Drosophila melanogaster: one gene and its partners. The protein of the gene in region 1 interacts with the protein of each later gene in a pairwise test. Each region holds a gene or a part of one and is shown on either strand. Other genes may lie near its edges. The genes, in order: Nnf1a, CG12995, Mob2 and CG6470.

What was found.
Region 2: the proteins of Nnf1a (region 1) and CG12995 interact in a two-hybrid assay, tested with the Drosophila melanogaster proteins (one large-scale study listed by BioGRID).
Region 3: the proteins of Nnf1a (region 1) and Mob2 interact in a two-hybrid assay, tested with the Drosophila melanogaster proteins (one large-scale study listed by BioGRID).
Region 4: the proteins of Nnf1a (region 1) and CG6470 interact in a two-hybrid assay, tested with the Drosophila melanogaster proteins (one large-scale study listed by BioGRID).

What each region holds. Positions count from the first base shown.
Region 1 is NT_033778.4:20,585,707-20,588,952, reverse strand, and holds Nnf1a (Nnf1a), read left to right. Parts: upstream 1-1,714; 5' UTR 1,715-1,779; coding exon 1,780-1,880; intron 1,881-1,936; coding exon 1,937-2,149; intron 2,150-2,223; coding exon 2,224-2,338; intron 2,339-2,543; coding exon 2,544-2,699; 3' UTR 2,700-2,731; downstream 2,732-3,246.
Region 2 is NC_004354.4:17,208,861-17,212,012, reverse strand, and holds CG12995 (uncharacterized protein), read left to right. Parts: upstream 1-2,015; 5' UTR 2,016-2,051; coding exon 2,052-2,573; 3' UTR 2,574-2,645; downstream 2,646-3,152. Other genes in the region: CG32563 (uncharacterized protein), read right to left, coding at 3,004-3,152.
Region 3 is NT_037436.4:11,550,089-11,554,789, reverse strand, and holds the start of Mob2 (Mob2), read left to right. Parts: upstream 1-1,677; 5' UTR 1,678-1,960; intron 1,961-2,096; exon of another isoform or gene 2,097-2,251; intron 2,252-4,701. UniProt on the Drosophila melanogaster protein: Required for the normal morphogenesis of a variety of polarized outgrowths including epidermal hairs, bristles, arista laterals, and dendrites.
Region 4 is NC_004354.4:18,512,293-18,516,829, reverse strand, and holds CG6470 (uncharacterized protein), read left to right. Parts: upstream 1-1,962; 5' UTR 1,963-2,120; coding exon 2,121-2,493; intron 2,494-3,000; coding exon 3,001-3,641; 3' UTR 3,642-4,001; downstream 4,002-4,537. Other genes in the region: HisRS (Histidyl-tRNA synthetase), read right to left, coding at 1,148-1,240.

The DNA of each region.
Region 1 (3,246 bases):
TTTTTAAGCAATACTATTTACAATTTGTTTGCTGACCAATTTGGAACTCAACACATTTACGTGAGAATTCAGTTCAATGTCAACGAACGCGTGCAAATAGCCGCGAAATATCTTTGGAATTGCTTCACTCGAAATAAACGCTAGAAACAAACGAAAAATACCTCGGCCAAAAAAGGCAAATAAAAGCGAATTTTTTCGCAAAACTGGAAATCTAAACAGAGACAAAGGAGATTCGTCACAATCGCCAAAGAACGAAAAGCAAAAGTTGCAGAATTGCTGAGAAGATTTGCAGACGGAAGAAGAAGAGAGCTGTTGTTAAAAAGCTGCAAATGCCAATGGGTTAATGAGGGGGAGGGGGGCAAAGAGAAAAGAAGAGGAGCAATGAAGAGAGGGGGGAGGCAAGTAGGTGGTAATAAGCTGCACCCAACCAACAAGCGAAACAACAACAGTTAGCTTCCATTTGTATTTTTCTCTCTCATTAGCCTCTCTTCGCCATTTCCTCTGCCTCTCCGTTTTCTACGTACCTCATCGATTGATGCTAAAAACTATGAATAAAATATAGGTTAGGCCTTTTCCTTATTTGTAAAAAGCCAACGAGCGTTGAACTCGTCTTGTAGCGTGGGAGTTTTGCTTTCGGAACAACGAAACTATTTTGTTTTGATTTTATCTCAGCGAATTATAATGAAATTTATGCACCGGTGTAACCGCGTGGAGATAAAAGAAAAAGGGAAGCAACGAAACGAAAAGAAAAGAAAAAACAGCAAATGTGAAAAACAAAACAAGCGACTAAAGCGATGGGCCAATTATAAAAACAACAACTATGCGACTCTGTACTTTAAGTAAAAGCCGGCATGCGTGCGAGCAAGCGAGAGAGGCAGAGAGAACAGGGCGGCAGAGCGAGAGAGAGCTAGGAATATTTCTGTGTGCCCTGGTGGTTGTAATAAAATGAAAGGAAGAAAAACTGTAAAACTCAAGCGCCGAAGCCAAAAGAACGATTTTGGGGGTGTAGTTAAAAATCACACTATATTGCTATAAAAAATCGGCATGTATTGGCGAATCTTTTTCTTAGAAATGTATTCAGGAAAACACAAGACCACACAACACACACACACATTGCTTTTAGCCTGGTTTATTTGCCTCGCAAATTCGCTTTTCATTCGCGTTTCCCCAGGCAAAAGATAAAAAAAAACTGTAGAAGAAAAACTCACCTATCGGGATGCCTTTGTTTTCCTTCAGCTACGAAGACTTTGATGCCACCGAACTTAATCACTTAACTTTCAATTGGTATTCAACACGATTTTGTCCGCCACTAAACACTGGCTGGTAAAATATTATTCAAAATATGTATAGCACAAACACACTAGAGCTGAGTTAAAATGCACAAAAGTTAGAGAGGAATTGGAAAATGGCGTATCACCCTGTCATCGATACCTGGACTATCGATATATGATGGTTGAAAACGGTGGTTTAACACTTATTCTTAAAAATACTGTTCGGTGGTATTTATTCATTTTGTTTGACATTGTAATGTAAAAGGCACATATTCTCACCATACCGCTGAATGAAATATATTTATATTTTCAACATCACTTATGTTACAAGGGACTTATGAGTAATAAGAGCTAGTGGAAATACCTCAAAAAAAAACCAATAACAGGGTTGTCACCATACTCTATAATTTCTATCGGCCTGGTGTTTTGCAGAAACTTGCAACTGGTCACACCAATGTGGCATTGTTTTGTTTTGTTTACAATTTGAATTTACTAACAAATTATTTCAATGGAGGATTCGGAAGCCGCATTTAAACGCCACGAGGGTGTGGGACCAAAGGTGAAACAGGCCTACGAGGAAGCCATTAAACAAATCTTTGCCGACTTGAGGTAAGCAGCAGGCATAGTTAACATGATAACGAATATTAAAAATCGTTAATATCTAGCTGCGCAGATCTGCAAGCGTGGGATGCCATTTACCAGGAGCACGAGCAATCCGCTCTGGACACCGAAAGCATCGTAGATCGCACTCGCAGTCTGATGACCAAGGTTGTGCTCGAAATGAACCGATGCTTTTTCGCCAGCAACGATGTGCCAAATAAGTTGCAAACTTTGGAAATGCTCAAGGAACATTTCGCTGCCTACGAGGGCAAGAAATGGTACATGTGCAGCATAAAACATAATACGATTCGATTGCATTGCTAACTCTACTCTACTCTATTGTAATCTATAGGAACGTGAACACTGCAGCACCCGATAAACTCACTCGGCCGCTGCGCATGCGATTTTTGGACTTCAGCGTGGAATTCATGGAGCAGCAACTGGCCTCTCAGGCAAAAGAACTTGAGGTGCGATTTGGATATTAGTTAATCTTTGTACTATTACTGCACTGTTTTGAGTGTACCAAAAGATCCCTAAAGTTAAAGAACCTTCGAGAAGATTTTTAGTTTAATAATTTCATTTCTATAGTTTATCATTTGCATATACATATGTACATATCTAGGTTTGTTATTCTATCAGTATAACTAACATTTGTTTATATTTCAATTACAGATTGCTATGGCCAAGAGCAATGCCAATCGCGAGCGACTCCAACATGTCCATGACAAGCGCCTGAAATTGACTGTCCAAATGGAGCAGCAATTGTCGCAGTACGAGAAAGTTAAGACAGAACTTATTAAACTAGGCGAAGCATTGAACGACTTCTGACAAACTTAAATGCAATAAATAAATAAAATACTACGCTATGAGCTTAATGATTTGAGTGGGGGGTCTTAAAATGGAAATTCATACAAACTAATCTGCATATTCATTAATGTACATACATATGTATGTACACATGCATTTGTCATTGACATTCACAATTTATTTAAATTCGTATCATTGCAATAAGCTCATAATATTAACGAGCAATTGTTTGTATTGGCGACAAAAAATCTTTTAAAATTGAATGTATATACATACATTTCAAGTTATCTCTATAAAGAATACGATAAATAGTACGAAGTTTTTAGCTAAACATGTGTAAACTTATGTATGTATGCATGTGTTTTTTGAGTGATTTCTTAGAATCGCTGTGTGCTTACACACTCCCATACATACATACTTGATTGCGTAGTATAAATCAAAGGAATGGTATTAGTGTAAAAAAGAACCGAATTTTTGCTAGATCTTCCTCAAAAAGTAACTAATAATATACATTTAAAGATGTTTTTTAAAAGATTCGTTTTAATTTCCCTTGTGAGACTGCACTCAT
Region 2 (3,152 bases), on another chromosome or scaffold:
TAACCACATTGCACCGCTCCCAATTACTCACCGCCCCCACAATCAACAAAAAGCAAAAAATACAAAATTATGACAAGAGGTATTCGAGTGGCTCAACTATGAAATAGTTCGAGGAAAACACGTATCCATGGTCGAAAAACTTTCGTCTACCTGTTTCATACTTTCTAACGAAACTAGTATACCCCCTTTCTCAAAGACTAAGGGGTATCAAAATTAAACACAAAACAAGCGGTGCTATTACATTGGTAATTTGTGAGCCCGACTGGTGGTGTTGCTGCTGCTGTTCGTTGATGTTGCCGGCACGCAACCCGCCAGAAACTAGCAACTATTAACCAGCAACTAGCAACCAGCAACATGGAATAAACAGCGGCAATCAGAAGCGCCAATAGCCCAAATGCGAGTGCTTCCAGTTGGCCATTTGGATGGTGGATTCACAGATTAATACTGCCCAATTATTCACACTGGCCGACTTCGAAGAAATGCCGAGCTACACCCAAAGAAAATACCCAATAAATGTCAATCCTAATGGGATAGTATAATATACCATAGAAGCAACTAACCATTTAAAAAATTAATTTTTTAATTATTGTGATAAAATAAATATTTATCAGTTGTTTCATTTAATATTTATAGTTTTCAAAATATAATATTCTCTCTACTTCCTGGGCTTTTTTCAGCTTATATTCTCAGATGTCTTTCGATAAAGTTTTGTTACTAGTATTATTTGTTGATTGATATTTTCTTGACTTTTTTTACTGATTCATATATTATTATTCATTTAATGAGAGCAGCCGAACTTCGCTACAAACCGATTTTCTTAGTTTTTGGAAATTTATTCGCACATAGCGCGCTGAATTGACGGCAAATGTTTATATGTACATCGGTAACGGTTTTGTTTCGCTTTTCCACCTTTTGCAATCTTCCAGGCACTCGTGCTCCATATATGGAGTATATAGCACCCATATCTTGTTGGGAATGGGAATATTGGTGAGTATGTCAGACGCATGGAGCTGTGGGTTTTTTTAAAAACTACTGGCGATCGAGCGCGGACTTCTCGCTCTGCTGGCTTCTTGTGCTTTTAATTGCAGTAGAGAGACTCATGAAATCGAAATCAATTCAGATTGCTCTATATCCATTAGACTATAATTTGGAGTTAGTTTGAGTTATAGATTTATGTAAGACTCGCTGATGATAAGTTAAGAGAGAAATATATAAAATAAAAGACTTGATAAACGGATGCTGTTCTTAGAGAATATTTTTGGCAATGTATTTAAATCCTTTTCGTGATTTAATAAATTTGCGAAATATGTTTCAAATAAGTTTGTACTCTACATCTTTGACTATTTTATATTTATCAAATATAAAAGTACCTATCCAAACAGTTTCTCAATGAGTTAAGTGCACTTTTTGGCCACTTTGCACAATGGACACATCTCACTGCATTGTTTGGCCCGATAAATATACACCTTCAACTCACATACTCGTATATGTGAATGACTCTTTATATTTGCCATTCTACTTCCACTATTTGCTGTTGATAAACCCAATTAGTTGGCCTGTGCCAAAAATCTAGCGAGCTTCCGCCTTAAGTGCAAATAGGCGGAGGGTTAAGGCCCACAGGGATGCCACAGATGACGCAATATGGTCCATATACCGAGAACGGGCCTAATGGCCAAAAAGCCAAAAAATAATTGAGAAGACCAAAATTATTACGTATACGCACCATTGCAACAGGCTTTTCAATGGCCCCGCCACTTAGACGTCGACGTAATGCGGAGTAAGTGCAGCAAATTATCAGCTCCAGCCGAACGAGCGGCCAGCAGGCAGATGTCCGTTGCAACATTTTTTTTTTTCTGTGTTTTTCGCTTTTAGCCAAACAAAACAAAAGACTGTGTGCAAAAGTCGACGGAAAATGCAGGAAAATGCGGCATGTATTTGCGGTCGAATGTGAGTGCTCCGAGCATATAAAATCCAATGCAGTTGGTAGCAGTAAATTAGTTGACTCGAAACATTTCGCCGCGTCGGTTAAAACACTTCTACCACATCCAACCATGTTCACCTATCGCCTGAAACTGATGATCCTTCTGGGTCAGCTGCTGCTAGGCATCCAATGTTATCCTTTGGGGGATGATGTGTCCTCCAATGCAGTGGTCCATTCGGCGGGACTTTTGGGCCACTACGCCGGCGGTCTGACTGGCGGCGAGGCCTTGTCCAAGCTGGACTTCAGCTCATCTTCGCACGAATTCGGAGCCTCCGCGGAGGCGGATCACTTGGGCTCCCTCGGCGATCACCTGGGCGAGGAGAGCTTCCCGTCAGATTACGGCAGCAGCGATGCCGGCGAGGAGTACGCCGAGGCCAGCGAGTTGCACTCCCACTACGAGGACCACAAGGCTGTGCCCGGCATCGATCATGGCAAGGGCGCCTTCAGCTACAGCACCCTGTACGAGTTCAAGGATCGGGATGAGCACGAACTGCACCACATCCAGCACCAGGCACTCGAACAGCAGGTGGAGCACCAGGCGGAGCACGACCACCACCTGGCGGAGCACCACCAGCTGGAACATCTCTACTAAGACTGTGATAGTCGCACACAAGACCTATCAAAATGCTCAAAGATTATATTATTATAAAAGTGTTTTTTTTTTAACGATTATTAAAATAAATGTAAGTTAAATTGAATTGAAAAGCTCTCTTGGGGGCACAACCTATAAATAAATATGGTCAAGTATTTATGAAAATTTAAATAAGTTAAAAAGATGTCCTGGATTTTAATTAATTACAAAATCTGCATGTTTAAAAATGTTACATATTTAAAAATTGTGTTTTTGGCACACATATAAATATTGTCCATGCATTCGTCAACCTTAAAAACCAATATATTTTATAGCAATTTTATTGAATAATAAATTGAAAACAAACAAAAAAAAACTTAACTTAAAGTAATAAGACCGCCGAAAAGTAGTTATTTATGATAGTTTATAAATTGTTTCGCAATGAACCCATTTAGCGGCCGTGGGAGTGGACAACTTGATGCTGGGGCAATTTGAGTTGCGAAAAGTCCACATTATCATTGACCACGATGCGGGGTTCGTGGATCGAAGGTATCGAAGGTATCGATGGAATCGATGGAATCACTGAATGTGGCAAATGCG
Region 3 (4,701 bases), on another chromosome or scaffold:
TGGTGCAAATGAACTTGCCGCCGTTTCGGTTGCATTGCGGGCGGTCACAGGTGCGCGTTCTCTGCTGCCAAGATTCCTTTTCCTCTATCCGCTTCTCACCTTTTCGCCCCAGTCGTATTTGTTCTTGTTTTTCTTCAGCTCGTCAATGGACAGCTGTTTTGAGATACACTCGAAAAAAAGTGTATTAATGCAATTGTCTAGTAAATTTAAAAATATAAAATAAGTTTATGTGGGTTGGTACTGTTGTGTTTTTGTTAATCATTCTTTTTAGTTATTCGCTTAATGAATACCACACATGTCGGTCCAAATTTATCTAAGTGCATTGCGTGTTCCTGTTTTCAACTTTATTTACGCAGAATGACGATGCGTTTATATTATGTTTTCTTATTCGGGTCTAGATTCTGTGTAAGTTAGGCAGCAAATGCAGTTCCTGTGTTCTTCGGTTTTCGTCTACCGCTCCATTCTATTTGATTACTGATTTTATTTCTTCCTGGCCGAAAAAGAGCGTGATAATTACTCCCTGTGGAGAGATTTGATGGTCAGAGGAGTAGCTATTTCATGCGGGCTTGGGGTCACTTCATTGATAAGAACCACGTAGCTGGAGGTCCTTACCATCGAGAATAACAAATTGGAATATATCTTTAATTCTTTATTTTCTGTTTTCCTTTCAGGTGAGTGAAATATCTTGAGCATGAGCTTACCCAAATCCCAGGTAATTTGTTTAAGTCAATTAGAGCAGTCATTTTAACTGAGAAAAAAATTATAACATGCTTAGAGTATTAAACGTATTAAATAAATGTTTAGCGCTTTAACAAAACTCTATGATGTTTTAGTTGAACAGATTGTTATCAAGCCAATTAGTGTTCTTGGTAAAAGTACATAAGTGATGTGATGTTTGCGTCAATTGTACGAAATTGTGTTAGCCATTAAATTTGCCGAATTTATTTCGTTTACCTGTGATCATTAAAACCATGTGTTAATGAATCAACAATGGCAATATATTTATGAGAAATCCATTTAAATGTTTCATACGAACGGTACAATTATCCCTTTTCGTGGAAAATTAATTTCTAATTGTTATTTATAGAGTTTATCCTAGGTTTGTTCAATGCGTTAAAAAAGTAGTAGATTCTGCTACTATTCTACTGCCACTTTGCCGTGTTCTCTTGTTACCGAGCTGTGTGGCAACGCCAGCGCAGTCAGCTGCTGAGCATCAAAACATGAGCGCTCAGCTGATGCGAGAGAGCGTAGAAGAGAGAGGGCTAAAGCCAAAGCAGTCAAACAAGTGGTCGAAAACCGTATAGATGTGCGTGTCTCGCTTGAGTGGCGCATTTGTATGCAAAACACGTACACGGGCAGCTCTCTCCCGCTCAGCTGGTATTTGATACCTCTAGCTCTCTTCCTCGCGCTCGAGCGGAGAGCAAATGTTGCTGGTGTGCGAGACAGCAGCAACATCAGCAGCAACAATAACAACAACAGCAACCACTTCATCTTTACTGTGTGCTCTGCTTTCGTTGCCAGTTTTGTGTTTTTGCTTTTGCTGCCTTTTTTCTCTCCTTACTTGCGTGAGTGTTGATGTTGCCGCTGTGTGTTGCTGTTGTTGCCGCTGTGTATGTGTATGTGTTGCTGTTGCCAGCCGAACGAGCAGCAGTCAGTCAAAGACGGACGGCTTGGCTCAGTGTAGAAATTTCCTTTGGCACGCTTGGTCGCTCGAGCGGTTGCAGGTCGTCGTCAATAGTGGACTGTTGATGTCGCCGCGTCATTATTTGACATTGTTTTTCGAGGCGCCGCCGTCGGTTGCAACCACACATCATCGCGTCGCAGTTAAAAGCAAAACAGCAACTCCAGCAGCAAGCAGCGCAACATTTGCAACATCAATTGCCACCGTGAAATGCTATGCTAGATTGTGAAATAAAATCGCCTACCAATACAAACTAATATCCCGAAAAGGGGAACAAATGTAAGCCGAAAAGGAGTCTGTTCTCCAACAAAAAAAAAAAGAAAGAAAGAAAAGAAGTTCTTCTCTGTGTGTGTGCTAGTGTTTTCCCGTGCTGGTGTGAAACTGTGTCATTCGCTGCGAAAAACTGCATTCAAGTTTTTCCTCAGAGCCGCGACTGCTGGCGTGTTATTGTTGCTGTTGCAGCTAGCTGCCACGGTTTGTTGCTTCACTGATTACGCGCAATGCAGCAACAGCAGCAGCAGCAGAAGCAACAGCAACTAACTGCAGAGGAGCAATAGCAGCTGAGAGTTCAGTTGCGAAACCGGCGAAGCGCGACTGTTGCCAATGCAGCGCTTAGAATTGGCACACCAGCAACAACTGCAACGCTGCAGCAAAGCTGCTACTCCAGCGTCAGCAACAACAACGGTACATTGGGCATTCACAATGTTGCTTGGTGTGCCACTGCCACTGCCACTCCACCACTACTTGTTCCTCCACTGCCATATTGTTTTAACCACTTCCTTTGCCGCAGCGGCAGGAACTTCCTTCCTCACGAGCTTCCTGTCTGTTCGTCCGCTTGTCTGGTTGTCTGCCCTGCAACCCTCAACCCTCCCTTATTAACGCCCCCTCACACTCAACTGCATTGTCAGGTGTTTTCTCTGCCACACAGAAAGAAATGGGGGTATTGTTAGGGTTCATTTGACAGTTTTCACAAGAATTATTTAAAGATAGGTTTTTATGGAATATATCCTTATTCAAACTGCCTTTAAATACCTTCTAAAAATAAAAAGAGTGAAAATCTTAAAATAATGATATATCTTATTGGGCCTAGAGTATTTCCTCTTTTTTCCGTGCACATCCTGGTTGCGTTGTTTCTACTTTTTGTCAACCCCGTTGACGCGCCTACGTGTTCAATACGCTGAGAAAACAACAGTTACGAGTGGCTCAACCAGCAGCTTGTTATTTCTCACACCTTTCGTCCAGACCCCCCGCGCCTTCCTACCACTGCCCCTCGCCAACCCTTTGGGTCCTCAAATGCGCTAGGCCATCCATCGATTTTTTGAGGTCATGCTAAAAATTGCAAAGCCAACTGGAACTAGTTGCGGATTCCCATAGTTGAATTGCCATGGACAATTTGCGGAAGGCAGAGGAAATGAAATTGATTCAAGCCTTTGTGGTGCGATATTATCTAACCGAATTCGATTCGTTTTCTGTGTAGGCCCTTCTGTGTTGCGGATGTTAAGGATTTATGTAAGCTCAGGAACTAATTAGGAAGAAGCACTATGATATTTATCCAAACTAACAATTTTAGTTCGATATATAATGGTATAGAAAAGTATCTATGTACTATTTGCGATTGAACGTTTTGCCCCCGTTATGAAACACTTTTCTCACGGTATTTCCCCATTAAGCAATTCCAGCAAAATCGTATAGATACTAATTTAGTAACTCAGCAATCGCATTTAATCGAATTCATACATATGCATTTCGGTTCTATTGGGACTGTTTTCATTCGACGTGTATCTCAATCGATCGTTTAACCCATATGAAAAGGATAGTCACAGTTATAAACGCTGTCGGATGAATCTCTGGTAACTGGGTTAGTTAGCGACCCGAAAACTTCTCTGCGCCTTTCCGCCGAACCGTTATGCCATATGTATGTATGTATGATGCTCTGCCTGCCCGCCGGTCAGCTCTTCCAGACCAAACCAAACCAAAATGAAGCGAACAGAACAGAACAACCCAAACCAGCTCGAAGATATATATGGATGGGTTTTGTACGGCTTGGCATGGGGTTTGGTGGTGGGGGTACGGAGATACACCTATCTACTATGTATATCATGTCATCCATTGCATGTGCATCGCACATCTCACGTCACCGTACCGCTGCACAGCTTCTATCTCCCTTTCCATATCTGCTGTCGTCTTCCTGCTCGTCGTTTGCCAGTTGTGGAACTCGTTTTCATTTCTTTCGTTAGCAGACATAGACATAATTCTCCAGCTTTTCTAGCGAGCAAAGGGGGTGGGGGTTCATTTTCGGTTTCGGTTTCTATTTTTTTTTTCTCTCTTTCGACTTTGCCAATCGCTCATTTGACCTTTAACGGGTTGTGCTGCATATACATGAAAAGCACACTCAAATCGGCAACAATTAAGCTCATTCAAAACGCGAGCAATGGGCAATCTAAGAAAAAAAAAACACTCGCCGTCGCGTTGCTAGAATCACATCATAAATTTCGGTTTTGATGGGGCGCCAGTTGTTCTGTGTGCGGAGGTGTGAAAACGATACTAGAAGGGGGGCGCACAAAAGACAAAACTCGTTTGGGGGGAAAAGACAACAGAGTCAGCAAATTGGCTTCAATGCGAGTTGAAGGTTAAGTGCGACAGCGACGCGGAAATTGAACATTTTGGATATTGGAATCAGTAGCTGGTTTCGAGCTGAATAAACAAAACAATAGGCATTAACCCCTTTTCTGTCATCTTTCGATTTTTCGTACTTTTTTTTTAGCACGCACTTCAGACCATTTTATTGGCTTCCTAGTATTGTCTGCAAGCAATTAAAAGTTTTTGCTTTAAGCTGCACAAAGAGTTTCATGAGAAATTTGGGATATTAGTTTCGTAAAGTTAAAATTTAAAAGCACAAAAAATATAAAAAATACTAACAGAACGAATTAGTTTTACATTGAAGAAAGAGGATCTTCATATCAATAGAAAATCAAAGATCGAAATGTACAGGGTACCTCTTTTTGCTTATATAATATACC
Region 4 (4,537 bases), on another chromosome or scaffold:
CAGTTGGTGGTAAGCGTTGTTGCAAATGCCTCATAGCCCAAATCACATGTTGCAGTCGTCAAGTCTTGGATCGGTTGATTGTGGTCTAGCAGGTTTTTGATATAATCGCTATAACCACCATGTGCCTTTTGTACATGCCTCCTGTTTGACCAGTCGCTCTCTTTTCAGTCAGTCAGTCGGTCATAGAGCACTCACTTTGGTGATGCAAATCCAGCTATTAGTCTCATTTAGCTACTTGACTTTAATTAAATCTAAATCTAAAATTATGAAATTAAATCTTTTTTCGATTACTGAACATGCAAGCTTCAACTTCAAATCTGAAAGATATCCTAAGTATCCCAATTGGATTATTTAATACCTGTACAATACTTGTTCTAATTGGACAGCGTCTAGAACATCAAAGAGTACAGGAAAAATCACTTTAAGGTCTTATTAACACAAAAGATTATTGAGTTTTCTAGAAGTCTCCAACTGTTTTCAGCACAGTTTCAAGGAAATCCAGCCAAAGATTTGAAGTGAGCATCAGTAGACTTACATCAGCAAGAGATTAATATAAACAATTGCTTCTATTAGTCACAGCTTCGGACAGCACTGCTAATTTAAGCTACTTTCCAGCCAAATAGTCGGGACAATAGTTTGGCATCACTGTGCACAACACTAACACACACGCACACAGAAGCAGTGCATTTGCCGTTGGCCAGAGCGAGACAACAATAACAACAGAGTGGCACGAATGTGCGAATGCGAATGTAAATGTGAAAGTCTGCGCGCTCCTTTAATTTGCCGTTTTTCCTTTGCACCGCTCTTCCGATGTTACATTCATCTAATTATTACACTGCAAAAACGAAGATTTCGAACAACTCCAAATGCCAGCGCAGCATGTGTGTGTTTTTTGTTATTTCCCTTATTCTCAACTGCATGACGATCTGATGAAATATGTATGCGAGTGGGATTTCGAATTTGATGACGAAAGCAGGGCCGGGAATTACGGCAACAATTGCACTTATTCCATTGTACACACACAAAGGGGGATGACACTGGAAGGCGGACGCGTTGCTGACGGGTGGGGGGGTTGGATGGTGGAAGTGGTAGTGCTGGGTGGAGGGAGGGAGTCGGTTTCCAACTGGAAGTACGACCAAAAACTGACCTTCTCCTTCGACTCCTTCGCTGCTTTCAATTGACGGACGAGATCGCCTTGCACTTTGATTTGCTCCAGAATCTGCTCACGCGTATCACTCATATTCCGTGCTCGATGGCCAAAAATGAAAAACGGCAAACGGTTGACAGTCCACTGCAAAAGGCGGGCGCGCGGCGTTTCAATCGTCTCGAATCGACACGGCGATTTATGCTGTCTTTTCCAGCTTTCAGCTGCTTTTTCTGCGCTGCTGGCCAAAAAAAAAATTCGCACGCGGTGGTCAATGTGACCGTTCGTCGCGTGGTGGGAAAACGTGCGCTAGTGCGAACTCAAACCGTGGTTGATAACTGGGCTGGCGGACATGTAAAGTGTATAATTTATAATTTATTAACAACAATCAACACACGAATGCTGGCCACTGTTAGTAATATTAACTGCACTACAATTTATTAGCTAATTTTATCGTTTTTTTTTTTTTTTAAATAAAAATGTTCATGTCACTTGATTGCGTAAAGTTGATCTTGTTTGTTTTTTGTTTTAAACAAGTTCAAATAAGTTAAAATAAGTTGATTCGATTACAGCACAAACTTATCTATCCTAAAATCATTAAATAGAATATTTTTTGTCAAAACTACATATATTACAAATCATCAATTAAAAAAAATATATTTTTTTTTAAATAGCAAATCCTGAAATATTTTAAGAAGCGTTTTTTGTTTAAATTGTTGTTTATTGTTAAATTGTTTAAAAATCGAAAAATTCGAAATGAAATATAAGATTGGAAAAATGTTTTTTACTTCAACATTTAAAATTTCCCTGCCCAGCAGGCGATGTGCTTAGTTTCATTGGTATATATTTAAGCATCACCCTTAGATTCAGTATTCCTTCGACACCGACTGACTACAAACTGAAATTAAAAAAATAGCATTGAAAATTAATAAGACACGCTACACATACACAAACACACACGCACACCACACACGAGATGAACAAGCCGCAAAAGCCCATCAAGGTGAAGCGCGCCAAGCGGACCGGATGCTCCAGGATTCAGCCGCAGGAATTCGTGGAGGCTCAGGTGGAGAACGCGCGCAGGGCGGTGGAGCGCAAGCTGATCTACCTGTCCGAGTCGAACAGAGCCAGTGCATCCACTCGGGCGGCCAAGCGAAGCACGGCTGGCGCAGGCGGAGGAGCAGGGCGGGAAGGATCGAGCATGGCTGGCCATGCCCATGGTGAGCGTCGCAGGCGCAGCAAGAGGAGTCTGCTACACGCTCCAGCTCAGGAAGAGACCGACGAGGAGGAGAGTTCGCCGCTGGAGAAGACGAACAACTACGATAACAGAAGACGCAGCAGTTGCAATCGTAAGTTACAAATACATTTGCATATCGTCGATTTGGGATGCACCTTTCTATATGATCTTGGGTATTATTCAAGCTAGAGACACCAAATTTGGTATACAATACGTTATTGGTTATTAGAACTCTTTAAAATCTTGAAACAGCAGTATATATTTATCATCATTACATATATCATCTACTTAAGACCCTTCTTTCTATATGATCTTGGTGCTTAGTTAGGCAAGAGACACCAAATTTGGTGTACAGTACTTTATTGGTTTATTATACTCATATAAATCACGAAACATAAGTTTCAAGTGCAATTTATTTTAAAACAACGATTACAATTGTAGGTTATTAAATATAATCGATTTGGACACCTGTTATCTATATGATCTTGGGCCTTATTAAAGCTACTAACACCAAATTTGGTATATAGTACTTAACTGATTAATATAGTATATTAAAAGTGATATTAATTTAAGATCTCATATTGAGTTAACCAATTCTCCATTCTCCATTCTCCAACAGTATTGCTATCTCCTCGTCGCAATGGCCTCACGCCCCGGAACTACGAGGCCGAGGCCGAGGCAGCGGAAATGGAAGCCATTATGGCCGCACAGCAAGCCTCCAACGGAACGACGAAGCCCGATCATGATGAAGGAGATGGCGGGGAGTATCAGGGCGGACCGTTTGGCCGACTGCAGCTGAAGCCGCTGGGCAGCTATGCCACGGACCAGCAGCTGCCCAGCTACTCGTGCGGCGTGTGCGGTGCCAAGTTTCACATCCGATCGCTGCTGGGCGCCCACCGGCACACCCACGACGATGACTTCAAGGTGCGCTTCCGTGCACGGCGACCGCGGGAGAGCAGAACCACCCTGACCACCGTCCATTTGTGCAAGTACTGCGATCGCTCCTTCGACCTGGAACGCACGCTGCACATCCATCTGCTGAGCTACTGCAAGAAGATACCGCCGCAGCAGCGCCGCAAGCTGGCCTTCACGGAACTGGCGCACGAGAAGAAGGCGCCGTTGCCCAACTTTCAGCGGGCGCAGCAGCCGGTTCACCACCAGGGAAACAGTGCCACCAACCAGCAGGATCAGATGACCCAGCAGGAAAAACTTCAGAAGATTATCATGCGCGAGTCGGCAGTGCACGAGCGCTGGCGCTAGTCGTCCTCATTACCAATCTTCACCAGAAACTGGATGCAGAACCAACGCTTGCTTCCAAACACCAGAAGAATCCATTGAAACGAAAGGAAAATTGTCAAGTGCAGGGCGTATGCAGCTCAACTGTATTTGATTTGTTTACCAGGATCATCAAAATTTGTGGAATTGAAGGCAAAATTATTAGAAGTATGAATTGAGCACAATGACACGATTAGTGGGAGACTCACCTGTTCTGAAGACCGAAACACACACTGGCGTTGAATAGTCACATTCCACAAACGACGGTCAATTAAAACTAAATTAAGAGTCCCCAGCACGTTGATGCAAATGTATTGAATATAATTAAATATTTGAACTAAACAGAAGATTTACTTGCAATGAATTGTCATTTCTTAGATACTTGGCGGAAAGGTAAAAGAATCATAATCCATTGAGGCTTTAAAAGCATAATAAGATACTAAAATGGGTATATATATTTTTAAATTTATCGAAAAAATCGATGAGAAATCGCTTCCTCTCTAGTCCACTATCTAATATGTAAAGAAGAATGATATCGATGTATTACAGAAGCGCTTCGATACCCAGCTCGAGCAATCGATACGATAGCTGTGCATCGATACATTCGCTCAATGAAGCTGACTGCACGCACGTCCGTTGCGTCACCGGCGCTACCTTGCCTTACCGTTTACCGTTCACCGTTCACCGTTCCGTTCCGTGCCGAGCTTTGGCGGTCAAGCTCAAAGTTTCTGTGCGCTATCTCTTTCGCGCTTGCGGCGGCGGCGGTGGCGTTGGCGGTAGTGGGTCGTGTGCAGGGAATACAAGATAGGCGATGAGCGGCAACTCGGGCGGATCGAAGCCATCAGTCGATCGCAACAGGTGCTGGTGGTCACAGGCGGGAG